Linked DNA regions of Macaca mulatta. The protein of the gene in region 1 interacts with the protein of each later gene in a pairwise test. Links are inferred from orthologs where the notes say so. Each region holds a gene or a part of one and is shown in the gene's direction. Other genes may lie near its edges.

Region 1 (4,246 bases):
AAACTGTCGCCCAGGCTGGAGTGCAATGGCACGGTCTTAGCTCATTGCAATTCCCACCTCCCAGGTTCAAGCAATTCTCCTGCCTCAGCCTCCCGAGTAGCTGGGACTACAGGCGTGTTTTTTGTATTTTTAGTAATTTTTTGTACTTTTAGTAGAGACGGGTTTCACCGTGTTAGCCAGGATGGTCTTGATCTCCTGACCTCATGATCCACCTGCCTCAGCCTCCCAAAGTGCTGGTATTACAGGCGTGAGCCACCACGTCTGGCCTCTAGAGGAGTTATTTATTTATTTATTTATTTATGACACAGGATCTCACTCTGTCACCCAAGCTGGAGTGCAGTGGCACAATCATGTTTCACTGTAACCTGAACTCCTGGGCTCAAGTGATCCTCCTACCTCAGCTTACCAAGTAGCTGGGACCGCAAGCTCACACCACCATGCCCACTATTTTTTTCTCTTTGTAAAGACAGGGACTTACTACGTCGCCCAGGCTGTTCTTAAACTCCTGGCCTCAAGCAATCCTCCCGTCTTGGCCTCTCAAAGTGCTAGGATTACAGACATGAGCCAGCTCGCCCAGCTGAGGAGTTATATTTTGACACTAGTGAATTCAGATCAAAAGGGATTTCTAAGAAAGGTGCTGGACCCCTGGGACGCAGAGGGATGTTTCACCCCAAAGGAAGTAGCACCAAGCCCTCCCAGGCCTAGGGTGCAAGCATATTAAAGGCCTCTTTCCCTCTCTGTCTCCATTGTCTACACTCCATTGAGCATCCGAAATGTGCCACACACTGTTCTAAGCGTCTTACACATATTACATTATTTAATCCTCACAATAACTTTATGAAGTGAGCACAATTATGAGCCCATTTTATTGAAAAGGAAATTGAGGCAGGGTTTTAGGTAGCTTTTCTGGGGTAGCACTGTGGGTTGGAGGGGAAGGTGGAGTGCACTCTTAGGCCAGCTGGCTCTAGGGGCTCTTCGCCACTAGGCCGCACTGCCTCTAGCAAAGGAACGCGGGGAAGCTCACCAGACCTTAGGCCTCCCCAGGGTGCCACAGTGGTTCTTTTGAGCCCAGAGTCAGCTCTTAGGTCCATAGGCCTTCCTGAAGCTTCTGGACCACTTGCCCACAGCTGGGCCTCAGGCTGGCTCTCAGTAGAAGGGGGAGAATGGAGATTGCCAGATGTCCACTTCTCCTAAAGGTTTTATAAGGCGGTGCTGGTAATGTGCTTTACAAAAGGGGAAGCACCCGGACAACAGTCACTGTTTGCTCTTTTGAGCACCATCCCGAGAAGGAGGAATGTTCTTCCCATTTCATAGGTGGGGAAAGTAAGGCTCAGAAAAGCAAATGTTTTTTTCCAAGGTGATAGGGAGAGTCCGTGGCTGGTGTCTGCACTGAGACCAGACAACCCTAGTGGGCCAACAAGGGCGGGGTCCCCAGGTGCAGCGGAGGAGAGAGGCCCTGGCGGAGCGCGCCCTGGCGGCGACCCGGAGAGGCGGGGCGCGGGGATGGTGCAATCCTGGGCCTGAGGGCATCAGACGGCGGCTGATTAGCTCAGGTTTACATCACCCAGGCTGGGAGCCGGGAGCGCACGAGACTCGCAGCGGAAGTGGGGGCGGCTCCGCACACGTCCGCTGTTAGGACCCGGGCCGGGCTGGAGCTGGACCGGGATCCCGAGCTCGGCAGCAGCGAAGCGGGCCGGCCCACCTGCTGGTACCCTAGAGGCTCTGAGCACCGGCGGCGCCAGGACCCACGCGGGACGGCAGGACAAGGTACTCGGCGGGGTGCGGACTGTGGACTTGCCCGGAGCCTGGGGGATTGGAGCGGGCGGCCGGGGAAGGGGCGCCGGGAGGCTCTGCGCCTCTGCGTGTTGCTGCGTGTTACGCGCGCACACACACAACACCCCTTTTAACAGACTCTGCCGTCGGGGGACACCCTGGGCCTAGTGCTCCCCCCGGGCTTCAGGTGACGCGGCCCCGCAGGGCGTGGGGTCGCCCGAGTTTGGCTGGGGAAGCCAGGGACGGAGGTGTCCGGCTGTCACCCCTAGAGGAGGGTGTGCGAGGGTCTGTTTTGCGTGAGTGTGGGACAGGGGAGTCGTGTGGTGAGGTGAGGGGCTTGTGGGGGGCACTGGAGGACTCTTTATGGGGGTGTCGGAGGATCTGCGGGGGATCTGCGGGGGTCCTCGGGAACCCGTAGGAGAGAGTTCTGGGTGAGGGTGGGTCCCGGGGACCTGTGCCTCCGGGGATGGTGAGAACTGTCTGGAGGGCTGGGCACTTGGTGGCAGGGGTTGGAGGTGCAGGGGACACGGCCGGGAGAGGGCTGGGTGGGGTGCCCTGGGAGCGAACTGAGCGAGTGGTGCGGGAGCCGAACGAGTGGGAGCGAAGTCGCAGCGCGGGATCCCCGGCCGGGCAGCGCCGCTGGTTTTTCCCGCTGCGTGGCTCCGGGTTTGCAGGTGGAAGGTGCGCGTGTGTTTGCGGTGTGTGCTGTGCCTGCAGACCGGGGAGGGCGGGGGACGACAGCCACCTCTTTCCCTCTGCCTCACCCCCTCCTGTCCCAGGGCCGCCCTTCAATTTCCGCTGAAACTTCTGACTGGGACACCGCCGCCTTTCGCTTTCGCTCCCGCTGAAGGGGGCCTGGCTGCGGGGGGCGGGGCGGGGGGTGGTGGGGCCGGCCTTGCTTGTGTAGACCATGGGTGTGATAGCTGGGAGGGCTGTGTGTGTGTGTGTGCGCGCTAACGCTTACCCGTGGAGGGCAAGGGTGTGTCACTTAATGTCTGTCTTCCCTGGATGTGTTGTCGCTGGCTGGCTTAGACAGTGTCTCAGGGGTGTGTGTACACCTGTGAGCGCGCGCACGCTTGATGTAACCCGCCCTCATTTCCCTGGGTCTCGAGTATGGCAGGAAACAGCAAGAGGTAGATATTAGGGGCTGCTTTCATTCCACAGCACAGATTCTATTCTGCAGTGTGGTCTGCAAAATGCCTTGCCCAAGATTTATAGACTCAGTTACCCCATCTGTCCCCATCTGGGTGGAGCTTATCCCAGGCCCCAACAGGCTCTGAGGGATGACTGGGGCCAAGGCAGCCTGGAGTACTGATGTGGCACAGGCCAGAGGGACTTCAGGCAGTCTCCTGCTGCACAGGGCACAAAGCATGTGCACGGCCAGGTAGCATCCTGCGGGACTCAGAACAGCCTTGAGACTGTTCTGTCATCCCAGCCTCGAACCTGGGGAGCTTTCTAAGACTCCCAAGGATGGTACTTAAGCATCTTGCTGTGAAGAACAACAGGATGAGTGCTAATAGTGACCATTTCCTGACACCTACCCTGCAACAGGTCTATAAGCTCTACGTGCTTCATTTGTTTTTTCATTTCATCATCACTAAAAACCTGTAAACTTTGCATCCTGTTCCCACTTTACAGGAACTGAGGCTCAGAAAGCTTGAGGAACTTGACCAGGGGTACCCCCCAGCTAGAAAGGGTCTGAGACAGGATTAGAACCCAGGAATATCTGACTAAGCCACTCCTTACTGCGTTCTTACCAAGCCAAAGTCATGACCTTTCACTCATGTGGGGAGACCTTCCCTTCCAAGGCAGCTCTTCCGTTTAGGAGCCGCGTACTTGGAGAGGTGGGCCTCTGTCTGGTAACTGACTCATGTTTCCCTGTTCATCCTGCCTTGAACTGTTGGGAAGGTCTTTCACCAGGCTGAGGTCCCTCTCGCACCAGTGCTCAGACCTGGGCATGCACATCCTTGGAATGGAGTTTAAGTGGGTGGGCAGATGGGTTCTAGAGAGAACCTTCCTGCCCTGACATGCCCTACTGCCCTCTCCTTCAGCCACCCCACACACAGTCACACAGCTGCGTGGATGGTGGCTTTCTTTTCATTTAACAGTTCACTCTGGAGATCCTTTCGATTAGGCTATAAACAGCGTCCTCAACCTTTTAAATGGCTGCAAATTTTTCCGTTGTGTGGATGAAGTATAATTTATGTAACTAGCCCTGTAATTATAGACAGCAAATTATTTCTGTCACAAGGGCTGCAGGATAACTTTGTATTTGCATGCTTACACAAGCACACTTCTACAGGATACATTCTAGCAATGGGATTAATTGCTGAATCAAAACTCACACACTTCATTTTTTTTGTTTGTTTGTCTTTTTGAGACATTCTCACTTTGTCACCCAGGCTAGAGTGCCTAACCATGGCTCACTGAAGTCTTTACCTTCTGGGGTCAAGTGATTCCCCTACTTCAACTT
Region 2 (3,988 bases), on another chromosome or scaffold:
AAGGACGCAGCTGGGGCCTCGATGTCTGAATCCCTGCCAGGGGATGGGGCCTGGGCACCCATCATTTGGAACGGAAGATGAGGATGGCCGGAAACAGACACTTCAGAGGAATGAGGGAGACAGAAGAACGACAGCAAGAGTTAGACAGTCCAACGTCTGCGGCTCTTGTAAGGGGGAAAGAAGAAGTGAGGCTGGGCCCCAATAAAATATGTTGAGGCCGGGCGCGGTGGCTCACGCCTGTAAGCCCAGCACTTTGGGAGGCCGAGGCGGGCCGATCATGAAGTCAGGAGATCGAGACCATCCTGGCTAACAAGGTGAAACCTCGTCTCTACTAAAAATACAAAAAATTAGCCGGGCGTGGTGGCGGGCGCCTGTAATCCTAGCTACTCTGGAGGCTGAGGCAGGAGAATGGCGTGAACTCGGCGGAGTTTGCAGTGAGCCGAGATCGCGCCACTGCACTCCAGCCTGGGCGACAGAGACCGAGAGACGTCATCTCACCAAAAAAAAAAAAAAAAAAAAAATTGAACAGGAACGTATGAGTTGAACTCTGTGCATAAGGCTTGCCAGACACCGTCTTGAGTTTCATAAACCCACCAGGAGAGCTGATTTTTCTTATTTTACGGATAGGGAAATGAAGCAAGAGAACTTAAGCTATTTGCCCGAGGCCATCCTGGTAGGTCTGTGTTTGGGAGAGTGCTGTGACTCACGCTGGACTCTAACCCACGAGGGTTTCTCGGGGTCAGCAGTTGGGGGATGAAAACATGAAAAGTGTGGCTGGCAGGAAATTCTGCAAGCAGGGAAAGGGAAACAGAAATTAAATGGTGCAGGTCTCCGGGAAGAGAATGAGACTGGATCCACAAAATCACAGGAGGAAGCAGGCCCAGACCTCACAGGCAGAAAAAGAAAGAAACCAGAGTTTAGGAGGAAACCAGACCCCGGAGCTACGAGAGGGCCGGATCCCTGGCTCAAAAGGGAGGAGGGGCCTGGACCCTAGGAGTGGGAAGGAAGAGGTCGGATCCCCTGATCCCCAGGAGGAGGGGACCGGGCTGCCACCCAGTTGGGGCCCCGCGAGGGCGGGGCGCGGAAGGATCCGGGCGGGCCATGCTGCGCCACCCGAAGTATTTCTGTCCCCAGTCCCCGGGGCCGCCTCATTCCCCGTCCTCAGATCACGGTCTCTTCTAACTACAGCGTTCTCCGCCTCCGCCTGCGTAGCCCCAGCCATGGCTCTGTAGCCTCGACCCCTTTGTGCCCCCAGCCCGACTCCGCGCTTACCACGCCTGCGCTCTCCGCTCCCACCTTCTTTCTTCAGCCGAGGCCGCCGCCGCCTCTCCTTTCTGCAGCCATGGAGTGAGTAACCGCTTACTTGTCCCTCTCCAACCGCCTTTCCCGCCCTTTCGCAGCTCGTGGCCCTCTTTAGGGAGCCCTGGGGGGAGGGGAGCTGCGAGCGGGGAATCACGGTCGCGCAGGCGCAGAAGAGGTACGGTGGGCCGAAGGCGCGCGGCTGCGCATGCGCACTGGGCCCGGAGCCGGGTGGGAGAGTTCTAGAGACTCGATGTTTGTCAGCCGGCGTGTGGCTGCGCCTGCGCACTCCAAGGGAGGGTGTGGTCTTTTTCTAAACGATTCTGTGCGTGCTTGGTTGTTCCTGCGCAGTAGCCTACCAGTGCCCCGTAATGAATGAGCGCGGGCCCTGAGTGTCCGCGCATGCGCACTGATCCCCAAGAAGGCGGAGGTGTAAAGCAATTGGACAGCTCGGAAGACGTAGCATGCGCTTTGGCCCTTGGCGCATAGCCGCGTGTGGACGGCTGGCGTTCGGGTAGCAGTTCTCTGCCTGCCCCCTCTACCCTCCTCCACCCTCCCTGCTCCACGTTGCTCTGGCTCACAGCCCAACTTCCTTCCTTTTAAACCAGGCACCTGCTGAGGCGGGGACTGGCTTAGATTGACAGGGGAGAAGGCGGGGCTTAGAGGCAGCCCTCTAAGTGGGTGGGGCTAGAACCACTGTCGTCACGATGGGTGGGATTTCGTGAGCCCATTGTGAGAAGGGGCGGGGCTAAGCCAACCTTTAGCTGAGGGGTGGGGCTTCGATGGGACAAAGAGGCGGGGCCTCTGGGGAATCGGAGAGGGGCGGAGCTAAATAAACAATGAGGGGCGGGGCTTGGAGGGACAGTGGCAAAGCGAGGAGTGGGATTTGAGTGGATAACATTGCTGAAGGGCTGGGGCCTGGGGCAGTTCCCCTGGGCACTGGTTTGGGATGGAAGCTAGGAAGGCAGTGGGGCCAAAAGGAAATATTTTAGGGCAAGGGGCGTGGCTGGAAGAAAATGTCCCTGGAATTGAGTTTTTCCATGAAGCGGAATATTCTGAGGTGGATGGGAGGGGCCTAAGGTAATTCCCCTGGGAGACCCTTAGGTTTCTGTATTGGGGGAAAGGGTGGGGCATCGGTCCTACCTTAGGACCTAAAGAAATTCCCTTGGGAGTGGGTGGGGCTCAGATTTGGGTAAAGAAAGGGCAAATTTAGAATTCGGAGAGGCTGAGGCTTAGTTATAAACTGTGGTTGGAAGGGGGAGGGAGGAGCCCCGTGGACGTGCCTGGGGGTGTGGCTTGGCTTCCCCATGATTTTGGCCGGTGGATGAGGCTTTCCTGACCCCACGACCCCACCCACTCTTGTCTCACACGTGTAGGTCTTCCACTTTCGCCTTGGTGCCTGTCTTCATCCAGCTGAGCATCCTCCAGAGCCTCGTCCCAGCTGCTGGTGCAGCCGCTCCTGTTGCCATCAGTGCCCTGCACCTGTGCTACAGCGCCCTGCACCTGTGCTACAGCCATGTCACTCCTGGCCACCCTGGGGCTGGAGCTGGACAGGACCCTGCTCCCAGCTAGTGGGCTGGGATGGCTCGTAGACTATGGGAAACTCCCCCCTGCCCCTGCCCCCGTGGCTCCTTATGAGGTCCTTGGGGGAGCCCTGGAGGGCGGGCTTCCAGTGGGGGGAGAGCCCCTGGCAGGTAAGGGCAGGTGGAAGGTGGAGCAGGGGAGTGGAGGGCAGGGGAAGATGGGGGAGGAAAAACTCATCCATGTATTCATTAAATGTTGAGTGCCTACAATGTGCCAGGCACTGTTTTAGGTGCTGAGGATACAGCTGGAAACAAGAAGAACATGGTCTGTGCCCTCCAGCAGCTCATACTGTGGAGAGTAGACCAGAGGCAAATTAAATGAGAGTGTATTGGAATAAGTCAGAAACACTTAGCAGCTGAGCTACAAAATGACAAAGGGGACCTAATTCAGAGTGGGTAGCCAGAAAACTTTCTCTAAGTAGGTAACATGTTGATGGAGGCATAAAGGATGGGAAGGAAGCCAGGCGTGGTGGCCTGTAATCCCAGCACTGTGGGAGGCTGAGGAGGGAGAATTGCTTTAGTCCAGGAGTTCAGGACCTGGGCAACATAGCAAGGCCTCATATCTATAGGGAAAAAAAAAAAAAAAAATTAGCCAGGCATGGTGGCGCATGCCTGTACTCCCAGCTACTTAGGAGTCTGAGGTGGGAGGATCGCTTGAGCCTGGGAGGCCTAGGCTGCAGTGAGCCAAGATGATGCCACTGCACTGCAGCCTGGGCAACAGAGTGAAATCTTATCCCTTAAAAAAAAAAAAAAAAAAGGAAAGGAATGAGCCAGGAAAACACCCAAGGGAAGAGCATTTTAGTTGGAGGGAACTGCATACGCAGAAGCCCTCAGGAGGCAGGAATCATTGTATTCATTACTGTATCCCAAATGCTTGGCACATCGTGGGTTTTCAGTAATTAATGAGTAAAGATGAAACAAGGTGTATCTGTGTGTAATGTGATCTAGTTTGCCTTTTAAGAACAGAGTAAATACAGACACCACAGATACAGAGTACTCAGTAAAGGAGATGTTGGAATGGTTGAAGAAATGCTTAATTGACTGTTGGTTGAGTCACTGGTTGGTTGGCTGGTTCTGTCTTTTTTAATTTCTTTTTTTATTTTTTA
Region 3 (3,881 bases), about 72 Mb from region 1:
CAGACTACCCCCCCTTCCCAACGCACAACCCCGAGCACGTGGCCGTGGGTTCCCAAGCGCCTCTCCTCCCAGGGCCATGGGCATGACCACCGAAAAGCGGGTTAGGCCGGGGAGTTCAGAACCCGGAGTGAATCGAAACTACCCCAGGTAGATGGCAGCGAAGAAAATTCTGTTCTTAGGGGAACGCAATCTTCGGACACCAGAAGTTCCCCTATGATGCTATTCTGTGGCAGCCTCGCACTTGAGCCGGATGAGAATTGTAAAAACCCAGGTTGGGAGACAGGACGGCGCGTCTTCCCGGCTCCTTTCCAGAGTTTAGACGGAGCCATGCAGACTCAGCTGGCCTTTGGGTGTAGGTGGGCAGGCCCGAGGCGCCCTCTCGAGACCCCTTCAACCTCCCGGGGGCAGCAACACCGTATCGGCTATGAATGGCGTCTCTGGAAAACTCAGGCTTGGAACAGGTAACCCCCCGGTTTCCGCAGGCCAGAAATCAGCCCCCGCAACCGAAGGACGCGCAGGCTGGGAGTGGCGGCGGGGCCGCCAGTGGCGGACCTCCACTGAGGGCGGCGGGACCCGACCGCAGGGGCTGGGCCCTGAGGCCACTATGGGGTGCGCTAGGCTAAGGTCTCCTGGGGGCAGGAGCCAGTGCGATTGTAGCTGGCCAGCAGGCTGGCCGGCCTGAGGCCTGGCAGAGACCCGAGACCCCGACCCTTACCACGCGGACTCCGTGATCCCTCTCCCAGCAGCCGCCCACCTGGGGCCCTGAGCCAATAAGAGCTCGAGGTATATATGACTCACCGTGCCTGGGCCAATCAACTTGACGCGCGCTCTTCGCCAGCACCTCGCGCGATAACCTGGCTTCCTCGGCCTTCACAATAAAAACTCTCCGCCGGAAAACGACCTCTCCCCGCCCACCGCGCCGACACCGGAAGCGAGGCGTGTCTGCGAGATCACTCCGCGCTCCGGCGGCGAAGGAAAGAACGGACTCTGATCATAGAAGTCTAGTAAAGTAGTGCACCTCTCTCGTTTCGTGAGGTCATAAGAACAAACACCTTTTCTCGTCACAGCTACGCGCTGGGCATAAACGGTTGGGGCGTCAAAGGGAGGGAAACGAGCGGGCGGGAGGAGATGGTCACGTGGCCGTGGCGGAAGGATGCGTCGGTGCTGCGTCCCCTTAGAGACGAAGTCTATAAAGGGCCGGCGGGCGGCTGCTGCGGCCATTTCTACTTCGTCCGCCCACAAATGTAGTTTGGTTTGCACGTGTGCGCCTTCCCTCCTCCCCGCCCGCAGGGTCCACGGCCACCATGGCGTATTAGGGGCAGCAGTGCCTGCGGCAGCATTGGCCTTTGCAGCGGCGGCAGCAGCACCAGGCTCTGCAGCGGCACCCCCCCCAGCGGCTTAAGCCATGGCGTGAGTACCAGGGCGGGTCGTCCAGCTGTGCTCCCTGGGCCGGCGCAGGATTTGGGTTGGTGGGGTGCGGCCTGGGGCCGGGGCGGTGCCGCCAAGGAGGAAGCGATTTTACGAGCGCCCGGGACGCGTGGTCTTTGCTTGGGTGTCCCCGAGACGCTCGCGTGCCCGGGATCGGGAAGGCGCATTCTGGTGCCAGGACTGCTTCCACAGGGGCCCTGCCGCCCTCGGACCCCGAGTCCCCCAAGGGTCCCAGGGGTCTCGGCTTTCCCCCCCGCGAAACGTGGCAAGAACCAAGATGGCGGCGGCAGGGCGGCGCCGCGGGCGTGAGTCAAGGGCGGGCGGTGGGCGGGGCGCGGCCGCCCTGGCCTTATTTGGACGCGGGGACGGAGCGCCTTCCTCTTGGTGGCCGGTGGAAGAATCGCCTGGTCTCCGTGAGCGTCCATTTTGTGGAACCTGAGCCGCAGCAGGGAGGGGCGGATGCAACTGCCCCGTTGCCGACTCTATAGATGGCTGGACTAGAGAAGTCCCGCCTCGTAAGTGGAAAGATGAAATTCTCAGACCAGCTAACCTCTAATGGGAGTTGGCTTCTGATTCCCATTCAGGCTTCTCACGGCATTCAGCAGCAGCGTTGCTGTAACCGACAAAGACATCTTCGAATTAAGCACATTCCTCGATTCCAGCAAAGCACCGCAACATGACCGAAATGAGCTTCCTGAGCAGCGAGGTGTTGGTGGGGGACTTGATGTCCCCCTTCGACCAGTCGGGTTTGGGGGCTGAAGAAAGCCTAGGTCTCTTAGATGACTACCTGGAGGTGGCCAAGCACTTCAAACCTCATGGGTTCTCCAGCGACAAGGCTAAGGCGGGCTCCTCCGAATGGCTGGCTGTGGATGGGTTGGTCAGTCCCTCCAACAACGGCAAGGGTGAGTGGGCCACCACCACATCGTCTGGGTGGGATCTAGGGTTAGGGGCCTGTTATCTTTGTATCTGACTCACTTGGCCCTGTCATTCAAATCTTTTGCAGAGGATGCCTTCTCCGGGACAGATTGGATGTTGGAGAAAATGGATTTGAAGGAGTTCGACTTTGATGCCCTGTTGGGTATAGATGACCTGGAAACCATGCCAGATGACCTTTTGACCACGTTGGATGACACGTGTGATCTCTTTGCCCCCCTAGTCCAGGAGACTAACAAGGAGCCCCCACAGACGGTGAACCCAATTGGCCATCTCCCAGAAAGTTTAACAAAACCCGACCAGGTTGCCCCCTTCACCTTCTTGCAACCTCTTCCCCTTTCCCCAGGGGTCCTGTCCTCCACTCCAGATCATTCCTTTAGTTTAGAGCTGGGCAGTGAAGTGGATATCACTGAAGGAGATAGGAAGCCAGATGCCACTGCTTATGTTGCCATGATCCCTCCGTGCATAAAGGAGGAAGACACCCCCTCAGATAATGATAGTGGCATCTGTATGAGCCCGGAGTCCTATCTGGGCTCTCCTCAGCATAGCCCGTCTACCAGGGGCTCTCCAAATAGGAGCCTCCCATCTCCAGGTGTTCTCTGTGGCTCTGCCCGCCCCAAACCTTACGACCCTCCTGGAGAGAAGATGGTAGAAGCAAAAGTAAAGGGTGAGAAACTGGATAAGAAGCTGAAAAAAATGGAGCAAAACAAGACAGCAGCCACTAGGTACCGCCAGAAGAAGAGGGCGGAGCAGGAGGCCCTCACTGGCGAGTGCAAAGAGCTGGAAAAGAAGAATGAGGCTTTAAAAGAGAGGGCGGATTCCCTGGCCAAGGAGATCCAGTACCTGAAAGATTTGATAGAAGAGGTCCGCAAGGCAAGGGGGAAGAAAAGGGTCCCCTAGTTGAGGGTAGTCAGGAGCGTCAGTGTGCTTGTACATAGAGTCTCTGCTGTTGCTGTGTGTTGGAATAAATTATTTTGTAGGGAAAGTACTTGTGTGAATTCCTTTTCTGGCAAATTAGCCGAGTGAGGCGCCAACCACGCATCCCAAACTGGTTATAACATTCCTTGTGAGATCTGGGGAGGAGGGCAGTCCAGGACTGAAGATGGGTACCCAGAGTGGGAACTGCTCGCCCTGCTAGGTGTAAGCCACGATGTCTGATGACTCATGGGGCCATACAGCCGGATAGTTGGCCAACTGTAGCAAGTTGGGTCCTTTACCCAGAGGTGAGTTCGCTGGTTGTGTAGGGAGGAGGCTGGAGCTCTCTGAGAGGTTGGGAGGGAGGGACAGCCTGGGCCTCTTACCTATTTATTCAAGAGGGCTTCATGCCAACAGCTGTCGCCTGAAACCCTGGATAAGCTTGCACAGTCCTTGAGATAAGCACACAAGATTAGTTTTCACTTGTTACCCTGAGTTCTGTAGAAACGTGTTCCTGAAGAAAGAAATGGCTCCTTTTCGGAATTGATGCTGAAGCAGGACAGGAGCTGAGGGTTGGCCTCCGTTTCTCCTTATGGGGTGGAAGG
Region 4 (4,347 bases), about 71 Mb from region 1:
TGGCCCTATGGGGCTTAGCAGGTATTCTCCCCGTGTGTGGAGACGAGTGATTGTAAGAAATAAAGACACAAAACAAAGAGATAAAGAGAAAACAGCTGGGCCCCGGGGGACCACTACCACCAAGACATGGAGACCAGTAGTGGCCCCAAATGGTTGGGCGCACTGTTATTTATTGCACACAAAACAAGGGGGCAGGGTTAGGAGGGTGAATCGTCCAAGTGATTGATAAGGTCAAGCAAGTAACGTCATCATAGAACAGGGGGCCCTTCCCTACAGGTAGTCAAAGCAGAGAGGGAAGGCAGCGTACGTCAGCGTTTTCTTCTATGCACTTATCAGAAAGATCAAAGACTTCAAGGCTTTCACTATTTCTTCTACCGCTATCTTCTAAGAACGTCAAAGAGGAACCAGGAGTACGTGAGGAACATGAAAGTGGACAAGGAGCGTGACCATTAAAGCACAGCACTACAGGGAGGGGTTAGGCCTCCGGATGACTGCGGGCAGGCCTGGATAAGATCCAGCCTCCCACAAGAAACGGGTGGAGCAGAGCGTTCCCTGACTCCTCCAAGAAAAGGGAGACTCCCTTTCCCGGTCTGCTAAGTAACGGGTGCTCTCTTGGCAGGGGCGTCACCGCTTGACCAAGGAGCCTTCAAGCGGCCCTTACGCAGGTGGGACAGAGGGCTCACCTCTTGTATTCTCGGTCATTTCTCACAACATCCCTTCAGCACTTGACCATATACCCACCAGTTACATAATAATATTGATATTACTCTTAATAAAGGAGTGTAATATTAAAGAGTAATAAAGAGTAATATTAAAAGCTAATGATTAATGTCTATACTAATGATTGATAATGTCCATGATGATCTCTACATCTAATTTGTATTATAACTATTCTTATTGTAAGTATATTCTTTACTATACTGAAACAGTTTGTGCCTTCAGTCTCTTGCCTCAGCACCTGGGTCATCCTCCACCCACACCTCTGAGGGGCTGACCTGCGCCCCACCTTCTGGAAGCTGGGAGGTTGGAAGAGGGAAGGCATGCAATGGACCCAGCACACAGCTGGGAACTTGAGGCACACCTAAGCCTTCACTTGTGCTGTGCGGAGTCCACACTTCCTTCCCCACTGGAGTCTCAAAACCTCCCTCACTCAACAGGGAGGTGCTGCTCCAAGTTCTGGGCACACATTAGGGCTGGGGAGGGGGCGGTGGAGAGGGGGCTCCAGCCTGTCCATCCACCAGACAAGGGGGCACCTGCCCCTCTCTCAGCCTGGTCTGGACCCGCCTCCCAGGCTCTGGCTGCAATGCCTTTCTCTTTCTCTTTCTTTCTCTTTGCAATTCCGTTGGGTCCTGCCCAAGACAGATAAAGACAGAGCAGCCTGTCTTTGTCTGAGCTTCCTCTGCCAGTGGGAGGGGCCAGAAGAAAACCAGAAAGAGGGCCAGAGTCAGAGAAACGTAAAGCACCCCAGGGTCTCCCACACCAGTGCCTGAGCAGGAACGGGGAGGGGCCATGACTCACAAGGCCCTGGGAGGTCACTTTAAAGAGGGCTGCCCAACTGCAAGGACTCTGTAAACGGGAAGAGAAGCCACAGCACTTCAGAAAAGAGTGGGACTGGACAAGCGTATCTAAGAGGCCGAACATGAATCCACAGATCAGGTACCTCTGCCCGCTCTGTCTGCCAGGCCCCTCCTGCCCCTTCCTGCCTGGTGGTCCTGCTGGGTCTCAGCCCTGGCCTCCCCCTGCCCCAGCCCCACCTCTGGGCTCCCTCCCCTCTGTCTCCCCCGCCGCCGACACTCCCAGCCAGGCTCCTTGCCCTGCTGTGTGGTCGCCCCACTGCTGCTTCTGAATGGGCCACCTTCCCCACCTGCACCAGCCCAGGCCCCCTGCTGAGACTCTCCCCAGAAAGTCACCAGCGGGCTGGTGCTCCCCACCCTGGGAGGGTGCTCCCTCTGTGCGCTTCCCACCATTCCTGAGCTCTGGAACTGGGAGAATTGAACCAAAGGATGATTGGGTCAATCCGACATTTTGTTCTCAGCACTTTGATGAAATTTCTGTAAGATTTACTTTGTTTCAATATAAAGTCTTAGGAGAGGGTGTGGGGGAGGGAATGGTCTCTGTACCAGAAAATAAGGCATTTCTTCCAAAGATGCCACCAGTGTGAACAGAGGAGGATGCATATGACCCCAGACACAGGCTCCTCCTTCGTGAGCACCATTCCCCTTTTAAAATGACCCTGGTAACATGGAATGTAGAAAAAATATGATGATTAGGACAAATACCCTTATTTTACCCAGGGCACGGTGGCTTATGCCTGTAATCCTAGCACTTTGGGAGGCTAAGGCGGGTGGATCACTTGTGGTCAGGAGTTCGAGACCAGCCTGGCTAACATGGTGAAAGCCCGTCTCTACTGAAAATACAAAAAATTAGCCAGGCGTGGTGGCGGGCACCTGTAATCCCAGCTACTTGGGAGACTGAGGCAGGAAAATCCCTGAACCCGGGGGCCGGAGGTTGCAGTGAGCCGAGATTGTGCCACTGCACTCCAGCCTGGGGGACAGAGCGAGATGCCATCTTAAAAAAAATAAATAAATAAAGGTAGCCTTGGCCTGGGGAATTCGGTGTGATATCATCATCGGACAGGTGAAATGGGAGGAAGGAACTGAGCTGAAATGTTCAAGCAATTATTTCAGGGTGAAGAATTTTATTGTCTGTTGCATTTTCCTAATGGGTTGGGAGATGTGTGGCAGAAAAACTGGGAGGTTGAGGGTGTCCCATTGGTAGCCCCAGAGCTGGGGTTCCAGATGGGAGAGGTCACTGCAGCCCTGCTGCCCCTGCCAGCATCGCCTCCTCTTTCTCTCTCCCAGTCTTCCTGCCTGGGAAAGCAGCAGACATTCTCAGGACTGCGGAGGGATGGGGGAGGCCCAGAGCCCAGGGCCGTCTAGGGAGTGGTGTTCAGTGGGCATCAGCCCCCAGGACTCCGGCGGGGGGGGTCTCTGCATTGGGGTTTCTCTCTTGTGCCCTCAGAAACCCGATGAAGGCAATGGATCCAGGCACATTCTACTTCCAATTTAAAAACCTATGGGAAGCCAACAATCGGAACGAAACCTGGCTGTGCTTCACCGTGGAAGTTATAAAGCAGCACTCAACTGTCTCCTGGGAGACGGGCGTCTTCCGAAACCAGGTAGCACCAAAGTCTTAGTTGCACCCCAAATAGGAGCTAAGCAGCTGGGAATGCAGAAAACACAATAAGTGACGTGCCTGGTGCGGGCTCTCCTGTGTGTACTTTCTTGCCACATGTCTTTTTTTTTTTTCTTTTTTCTTTCTTTTTTTTTTTTTTTTTTTTTGATATGGAGTCTCGCTCTGTTACCCAGACTGGAATGCAGTGGCGCTATCTCAGCTCACGGCAACCTCTGCTTCCTGGGTTCAAGTGAGTCTCCTGCCTCAGTCTCCCAAGTAGCTGGGATTACAGGTGCCTGCCACCACACCCAGCTAATTTTTTTGTATTTTTAGTACAAATGGGATTTCACCATGTTGGCCAGGCTGGTTTCAAACTCCTGACCTCAAGTGATCCACCAGCCTTGGCCTCCCAAAGTGCTAGGATTACAGGCGTGAGACACCATGTCTGGCCTCCTCCCCACATTTTTTAAGTCCGTGGCCCAGATCTTCCTCCCTGACTCTCCTGTGATCAGATTGTGGAGGGGTTTTGCTTCTTCCCAAAAGGCCTTGTTTAGCACCCAGCACCCTCACTCTTGACTTTGTTCCCCAAAATCTTGTCATGGAGCTGTACATCCGGCAGTCCTCGGGAAACAGCAGCTGTGGGAAGCAGGGGGTGTGGTGTCCAGCTCTGTGTCTGGGCCAGTCACTGCTGGGCTCGTGGGGCCGCCCCTGCCACTGCCCTGATTCCTCAGCAGAAGGCAGGCAGGGACCAAGGCAGACCCCAGAGGGCCAGGCCATAGCAGGGGCTGAGGATGCCTGGTGAATGGATAGCTGGGAGAAAATATGGCAGAATTCACACATAAGTCTATGAGACAGGGAAAGACTCAATAAAATAAAGAAGGAAGGGGCCGGGCACGGTGCAGTGGCTCATGCCTGTAATCCCAGCACTTTGGGAGGCTGAGGCAGGCAGATCATGAGGTCAGGGATTCGAGACCAGCCTGGCTAACATGATGAAACCCCATCTCTACTAAAAATACAAAGATTAGCCAGGTGTGGAGGTGCATGCCTATAATCCCAGCTACTCAGGAGGCTGAGGCAGGAGAATCGCTTGAACCTGGGAGGCAGAGGTTGCAGTGAGCCAAGATTGTGCCACTGCACTCCAGCCTGGGTGGCAGAGCAAGACTCCATCTCAGA

The links.
Region 2: the proteins of TRIB3 (region 1) and ATF5 interact in a two-hybrid assay, tested with the Homo sapiens proteins (2 studies listed by BioGRID and IntAct). The link is inferred for Macaca mulatta from reciprocal best matches to the Homo sapiens genes TRIB3 and ATF5.
Region 3: the proteins of TRIB3 (region 1) and ATF4 interact in binary tests that used the Homo sapiens proteins (3 or more experiments, as listed by UniProt). The link is inferred for Macaca mulatta from reciprocal best matches to the Homo sapiens genes TRIB3 and ATF4.
Region 4: the proteins of TRIB3 (region 1) and APOBEC3C interact in binary tests that used the Homo sapiens proteins (3 or more experiments, as listed by UniProt). The link is inferred for Macaca mulatta from reciprocal best matches to the Homo sapiens genes TRIB3 and APOBEC3C.

What each region holds. Positions count from the first base shown.
Region 1 is NC_133415.1:83,776,380-83,780,625, reverse strand, and holds the start of TRIB3 (tribbles homolog 3), read left to right. Parts: upstream 1-1,434; 5' UTR 1,435-1,767; intron 1,768-4,246. UniProt on the Homo sapiens protein: Inactive protein kinase which acts as a regulator of the integrated stress response (ISR), a process for adaptation to various stress. Inhibits the transcriptional activity of DDIT3/CHOP and is involved in DDIT3/CHOP-dependent cell death during ER stress.
Region 2 is NC_133424.1:62,391,937-62,395,924, forward strand, and holds the start of ATF5 (cyclic AMP-dependent transcription factor ATF-5), read left to right. Parts: upstream 1-1,150; 5' UTR 1,151-1,347; exon of another isoform or gene 1,348-1,481; intron 1,482-1,646; exon of another isoform or gene 1,647-1,813; intron 1,814-2,191; exon of another isoform or gene 2,192-2,379; intron 2,380-2,675; 5' UTR 2,676-2,815; coding exon 2,816-2,993; intron 2,994-3,988.
Region 3 is NC_133415.1:12,021,320-12,025,200, reverse strand, and holds ATF4 (cyclic AMP-dependent transcription factor ATF-4), read left to right. Parts: upstream 1-1,430; 5' UTR 1,431-2,104; coding exon 2,105-2,330; intron 2,331-2,431; coding exon 2,432-3,261; 3' UTR 3,262-3,344; downstream 3,345-3,881. UniProt on the Homo sapiens protein: Transcription factor that binds the cAMP response element (CRE) (consensus: 5'-GTGACGT[AC][AG]-3') and displays two biological functions, as regulator of metabolic and redox processes under normal cellular conditions, and as master transcription factor during integrated stress response (ISR).
Region 4 is NC_133415.1:12,545,041-12,549,387, reverse strand, and holds the start of APOBEC3C (DNA dC->dU-editing enzyme APOBEC-3C), read left to right. Parts: upstream 1-1,531; 5' UTR 1,532-1,639; coding exon 1,640-1,656; exon of another isoform or gene 1,657-2,378; intron 2,379-3,021; coding exon 3,022-3,178; intron 3,179-3,614; exon of another isoform or gene 3,615-3,984; intron 3,985-4,347.